2 linked regions of the Danio rerio genome follow. The protein of the gene in region 2 interacts with the protein of the main gene of each other region in a biochemical or structural test. Links are inferred from orthologs where the notes say so. Each region holds a gene or a part of one and is shown on either strand. Other genes may lie near its edges.

Region 1 (4,276 bases), on a different chromosome or scaffold from region 2:
TGAATAATTAAACTAGTTAGTTGTGTAAATATAGATAGTCAAACCAGAAATTATTCTGGGACCTTCAGCATTTATAAAACATGACAAACACAAAGTTACAGTCCACTGCATATCTAAGTAAATGCCATTTTGAAAATGAATATAGGCAATGTATTTTGGTGCTTTTAAAAAAAACTGATTTATTAAACAGATATATTTATTAAAATAATATTTTGTCACTAAACATATTTAGAAATTGAAAGGTAATACAATTATCTTAATTTTTTTTTTGCTTCTCTTGATTTTTTCTCTTTTTAAATTTATATTTAATATTTTTTATAACATATAAATTTGGGTGTACTAGTCTTTGGACCGTTATAAGTTATTTTGTTAGATAAGCTCCATATTTGGCTTTAGTACTGACTAAACTAATGTATATGCACAAATATAATATTGTATAGCTTCCTATTAAAAATATGAATTTAAAAGAAATATTTGTGAGGGGTGTACTCGTATTTGCTGAGCACTGTATTTGCCGTTAAACTGTGTCAGTAGAACAAATTCCTCCAGTACTACACTACTTTCAAGATTGCGACTTTCCCACGATGCTGTTATTTATGTTTCTGTCTGCATCTCTGTAAAGAAGTGTAATATTGTGCTCATATAAATTCTGAAAAATACAACCGTAAACAATCTATTTTGTGACACCATTATATAAACGATAAAGCATAATGAAATGATGGACTTTTTTATTCCGTCCATATGATATATATTATCATACACAATTTCATCGGAGACTAACAGTCCTCAGGCCTGTAGCCAGCCTGGTGAAAGGAGTGGTTAGTTTTTTTCTCAAAAAGTGAACCTTTTTGCAGTTATACGCCTCAGTTTCTATTTAACTATGAGATTTAAATACTGCATTTTAGTGATTTGTTTGCTGGATTAGCTAGTCAGATGTCATCATAATCATACTTTTTGATGTACTAAAAATATTTCCTAAAAAATTGCAATAAAAAAATTACTAAAAGGCTACATTTTTAAAATACAAATTTATTACATCATTAGGACAAAAGTTTTAAAGTAAAAAAAAACTGCAGCCGACTGCCAGCACATTCAACATTCAAAATACATGCACATATGATTTCAAAACAACATTAGCACTATTTAATTGACTGTGAACAATGTTGTACTTTGATAATCATTGGCTACTAATAGGGTTGCAAATTTACTGGTACTTTGGTAGCATCGCGATACTAAGGCTCCAAAATACTGGCAGTGACTCTAGTTTGTAAACGGTAGTATTATCATTAATGGTTCAACAATAGTCAACAGCATGTGGAAAAGTCCCTAAATCTCATTCATTTGTGCCAGCAAATAATCAATAGACTACTTTATCTTATTGTAATTGTAACACTCTATTAAAATTTTCTGATGCTTCAAACACACATCTGAATCAGTTCATTTCTATTCCTGCAAATATGATTTAGCTACAACGACCACGACAATCTCTTAAAAAGAACAACTTACTAAAGTGAAATTTATTATTACTTTGGATTCTTACTAGATAAAACTGAAAATAAAAAATACAATAGAGGAGAAAAAATGAAAATAGCAATAGGAAACACTAAGAAAACACTATTTTTTTACCTCATATTTTGTTTAAAAAATTGTCTTTCTGTAATGAATTTCATTTGGTATAATTTGTATCTCATATTTAATGCAGTTTTTGTTGGTCAGTTATCTACAAAATAACAAATAACATTTAAGGTGAAGTGATGTGCGTCAAAAGCCGCTATACTTGCTATTGTGATACTTTTGTTTTGCTGGTATAGTATCATGGCCTAAATTTATGGTATCGTGACAACCCAAGCTACTAATAAGATTTCCATATTTAAAACTTGCAAAGAATATTTTTCTAAAGTTAATAAGTGTGAATGTGCGATTATAAAACCAATTTTACAATAATTCTTGTGTCAAAGCAGGGGAATTGTGTTTATAGTTTAATGAATTGGGTGAGCTTTCTCAAAAATGGCGTTATGGTTTTTAAAATTTTAAATAAAAGTCTGGTTTAGTGTTTTGACAAATCAAGTAAAACTGAAAGAATGTATCATCAGTGACAACATCATCCCAAACATGGATTCAGGATTCATCACCCACCTTAAGTCTGTAATTTGCAACAGCAAGGTAAAAGAGAAAATCTCTCTGGTCATCTTTTTTGCTTGTGTGAACCAGTTCTGGTGAAAGAAAACATTTGAGTGAATTATCAAACACGAACAAGCAGGCAGTAACAAACCAAAAAAACAAACAAAAAAAGCTGAATCACAGACCTTCTAAAAGCTGAATGCCTTTTACAATGTCATTTGTGTATTTGCTTCTGATTAAACACCAGGCATATTCAAAAGTAGTGTCTCTGGAAACGGGTCCTTTCACCAGCTCTGCGTTATACTTCTTTTCAAACTTCTGCAAAATAAAAGTCATGTCAGTGGATCTAATCACTCCATTCGACCAGTAGGATGATGATGATGATGTCAGGATCATGTGCTCCCCCTGGCAGACAAACGTAGACTAACTTTTACAGGAAACTGATTAATTACACTTTGTCTTCTATTTTAAAGAAAATAAAATTATGTATTTGACACGATAGGAGTCATTTTAATATTATGGAGTATATACCGTATTATACAAACATAAACTAATAAAAAAGGTGTATTAGATATCTCAAAACCCCGTAGTGTTAGATGTTATAACAGTACGTTTACTGTTCGTCAATAAAGATCGTCAAAATAACACAATGAGTTAAAGATACATGAGTGAAAATCATATATAATGTCCATTATTTTTGTTTTGGGGTGTACAGTAGAAGTGCGTCAGTCGAAAGCCTTGGTATAAACCCGACAACGGTGATTACACTATATAAAACAGTTTCATCAAGACGATATCTAAGTCATTTTTGATTCACAGCAGTGAAAAGACTGATTAAAATGCTTTAAAATACCTTTAGATCTTCTGGTGCTACTATGTCTGACACAACCGCCTCCATCTTCGCAGAGAAACCAAACACTGGAAGGTTCAGGGCGTTGTCAAAATAAAAGTCAGTGATTGCGACACACCGTTTTAATAGTGAGGCAGCAATCTATCTCGCTGTTTTTAATTAACGTTAGTTTAAATGAATTCTGTGGTTATCGAGTTCTATGTTATTTTGATATATTAAAGGCTATGCGTTTCACCTAATCAAATTTCAGTTTGTTGAACATAAACATTTTATTTTAAAGCATACATAAACATACAGATATTTTACTATTCCCATTCCTATTATTTACTCTTTACTATTGTGATATCATGGTAATATTATATAGTATATTTCAGTTCACTTTAAATGCCTTGAAAAAAAATGGAGAGAAAAATATATACGTAATCCCCCAAACTGTTAAAAATATAATTTCCATCACAGAATGTAAAACAATAGGCAATGTAATGAACGTGTGTATGCAGTTTCATAAAAAATACAACCAGCAAGACTGAGATTGTGAAACGGAAGAGTTTACTGGGTAAAACTTTTTTTTTTTTTGCAAAAAACAGTTCACAAGTTTGTAGCAATATTTGTTTACTATCCAAAATATGAATTACATTGTCAATGAAAAAGAGATATGAGAGCGAAAAAGAGAAGAAGAAAAAAACAAATAAAGAACATGATATAAACTTGAGGGTAAGACATTTAAGAATCAATAACAGTACATACACTAAAGTCATTACAAAATGAAATAGTTCTGTTTGCGTTCTTATTTTTATATAATGAATTTAAATGTATATAATGACTAAACTCTTGCAATTACTGGGTAACACTTTACAATAACAGTACATGAATACTGACAAATTAATACGTAAACTAAACATTACCGTAATTATGAATTAATGATCAGTAAAGGTATGCGCTTATTTATAGCTTAAAGAAAAATCACCAAAAGAGACATTCCCTAAACAAGTGAGCAACAGACTCAGAAGAAGTCTCACAAAAAAAGCGAGACACGTCAACGTCATTTTTGTAAAAATTGTTTAACTGGATGAAACCCATGCATAATTTTAAAAGACATTTCTTTAATTTTATTTGTTAAAACATTTCTGAGGGAGTGACCAAACATACGACCATTTAATATCATCAAAAAAGTTGTTTCAATAAGAAATAGAAGAAGGATTTGAGATGACAAGACCTGATTTTATGATTGTTTTTTTTTGTGGAGAAACAAATGGATCCATCAACAGTAAAATCAGGACTATAGTGACATACAGAAATAAATAA
Region 2 (3,018 bases):
CTGTGAGGTCATCGAGAGGCTCATCAAGTCTTATTTCCTCATTGTTCGGAAAAACATCCAGGACAGGTACGTAGAAAACCATGTCAAAGAGTTTTTGGTTTTGGTGTTTTAAGCAGAGTGCCGATGCTGTCTCGGTGTGTCTACAGCGTACCAAAGGCTGTGATGCACTTCCTGGTGAACCACGTGAAGGACAGCTTACAGAGCGAGCTGGTGGGACAGCTTTATAAACCTGCCCTGCTGGATGACCTGCTCACCGAATCTGAGGACATGGCTCAACGCCGCAACGAAGCAGCTGATATGCTCAAGGTGATGTTAATAATCATCATTTATTTAACCCTTTCATGCATGAAATGTTCGTATTATATTGTAAAATTTCTGTTTCTCAGATTCTCAATATGTGAAAGAACATATATTTTGACTTTGGTTAGTTATGCATTCATGAATTAATGTATGCGTAATTTCATAAATAATATAAATACTTCTAGTAACCTTCCGATCACAGCTGTATCCCTTTAAGCAAAAACTGCAGGAGAGATATGACCTGCTGTATTTACGTCATGTTTATTTATAATTTTTTTTCCGAAATACATGAAGGTAAGCAACTGTTTCTCTGGAAGAGGAATAGAGAAAATATTCTTGTAACATAAACAGTGTGTATCTTAGGTGAACAAAGCACATCGTCCGGTTATATTTAAAAATAGTTATTATTGCCATCTCTATAGACATCCGCTTGTATTTTACAAACCTTAAATGGTATGCTTTGCTCGTAGTTATGTGTATTTGAATGTCTGAAACCAAAAATAAATGTTATTTGTTTGAAAGCATAGATAAATTGTTATTTATGACAAGCGATGCGCACCTCTTTCTGTGCTTCAGCAAGGGCCGTCAGATTTGAGTTTTAGCAGTTGATGACGTACGCTATCAGTGTTTTAATTCCGCTGGTGTGATCATACGTTTTAGGGACCAGCCATGGCTAATCACACAGGTGTGATTGTACGTGTGAAAGGGTTAAATAGTAATAATCATGCAATAAAAATATAGGTTTTTATGTAGGTAATTGTTTAATAATTTGCCTCTATTAATGTTAATCAAATATTATTTTTGCTTGTAAGATGCGCAAGAGAATCTGTTAAATAATGATACCTAACTGGTATAATATTCTTATATGGTTATAAATAATTATTAGAATTACTTTAATTATATTGCCTGTAATTACTGTCATAATTGTAGAATAAACACATATATAAGAATGTACATGAATGTAAACACTTAATTACATTAGTTAATCCTTTTTAATTATACTAATGATTCTTGTATTAATAATATTTATGTACATTTTTGGTTGTGCCAAGTAGCCTTCATATTAAGATAATGCATTGATGTTAATATTTAATGACTCTTTTTAATGTAATAAAACACTAATTGTAAAATATTTCAAAATACTTGTCAATGTGTAATTCATAGTTGTTTTTAATACTTTTAATCATTAATTTTAATTGTTTATTAGTTGTGAAAAATGGTAATATAATTGGTAATTGTAATTAGACAAAGTAGTGCATATTAATGGCTTTCACAATAATATCATTATTATTTATTGTAGCCTTTGTATCAATATTAATTTAATAATGCTATTATCTATTACTTCATGTTGAATAATTTATATATTTATTTTTAAATATTGTTATAAGTAATTATTAAAGTACCTAATATGTTATTTAATATTAACTATTATTAATTGTAACTTATATTGTTTAGTAATGCAGTATAGTTTTTAAATTAATCATACTTTATTTAATTAATAAATTATCATATATTACTAAACTATAATTAAAGAAAAACAGAAAATAGAAATAATTTCTATTAAGTGATTATTTACTAACGGTAGAGTTAATATTACTCAGCTGTGAATTAGGAGGATTTAAAGTTATTGAATTTTTAAGGGTATATTTAATCATGCAAAGGAATATTGCAAATATTTCCAAACCTCTCTTACACCCACAGGCCTTGCAGAAAGCCAGTCAGGTGATCGCCGAGATTCGAGAGACGCACTTGTGGTGAACGTCCCGCCACTGATGTATAGCCCCTTCCCTTCACGCGAACCCTGCGCTCGGAGTCAGTCTCTTCTGTTCGGATCTCACAGACAGCCAACTTGAAAATGCACTGTCAGTTAATGTCTATTGAATATAGTTTTATGTACGCAACGGACTCTTAGTGAACTACATTGAGGGCAGCACATATCACAGCACACCTGCACACCGTCCCGTTCTGAGATCTTACATGTACGTGAGCTATCATGTGTTCCTGATGTAGCCTAAATTAAAGGTAGTGATGTAAACTGATCCAAAGGTGTGTTGTTCTGTTTGGCCTTCATTTCTCGGTTTTTGCATGGTTTGATATTTAAAGGGTCACAAAACCACCAAAACACATTTTTTGAGATGTTGACATTCATATGTGTGTCCCACGTTGCTAAAAGCACTATTAGGACACATATATTTCACAAAAAAAGAAAACTGGTTGTTTTAAGCAAATTCGTTTTTCCAGTTTCAAAAGATAATTTGAAGCTGTGTCACGGCCATGAGATCATTGTGTAAAATCCAGCGTAGAGATTGGCTGTCTGTACCGGACGGTACAGCGTGACCACTTTGAGGGTTCAGCATTAATTCATAAGAAAGACTTGGTTCGGACCAATCAGCACGCTCTATTGTGAATGAGGTGCAACTTTATTAGTGTGCATGATAGACAGTGCATCTGGAAAGTATTTATAGCGCTTCACTTTTTCCATTGTTTTATGTTACAGCCTTATTCCAAAATGGATTAAATTCATTTATTTCCTAAAAATTCTACACAAAATACCCCATAATGACAATGTGACAAAAGATTTGTTAAAATTGTTGCAAATTTATTAAAAAACTTCATAAAAAAAAATCACATGTACATAAGTATTCACAGCCTTTGCTCAATACTTTGTTGATGCGCCTTTGGCAGCAATTACAGCCTCAAGTCTTTTTTTAATATGAT

The links.
Region 1: the proteins of dnm1l (region 2) and fis1 form a complex in vitro, tested with the Homo sapiens proteins (2 studies listed by BioGRID). The link is inferred for Danio rerio from reciprocal best matches to the Homo sapiens genes DNM1L and FIS1.

Annotation. Positions count from the first base shown.
Region 1 is NC_133182.1:20,824,422-20,828,697, forward strand, and holds the start of fis1 (mitochondrial fission 1 protein), read right to left. Parts: upstream 3,062-4,276; 5' UTR 3,020-3,061; coding exon 2,975-3,019; intron 2,440-2,974; coding exon 2,307-2,439; intron 2,214-2,306; coding exon 2,137-2,213; intron 1-2,136. UniProt on the Homo sapiens protein: Involved in the fragmentation of the mitochondrial network and its perinuclear clustering. Plays a minor role in the recruitment and association of the fission mediator dynamin-related protein 1 (DNM1L) to the mitochondrial surface and mitochondrial fission.
Region 2 is NC_133200.1:21,480,880-21,483,897, reverse strand, and holds the end of dnm1l (dynamin-1-like protein), read left to right. Parts: coding exon 1-66; intron 67-146; coding exon 147-306; intron 307-2,001; coding exon 2,002-2,058; 3' UTR 2,059-2,339; downstream 2,340-3,018. UniProt on the Homo sapiens protein: Functions in mitochondrial and peroxisomal division.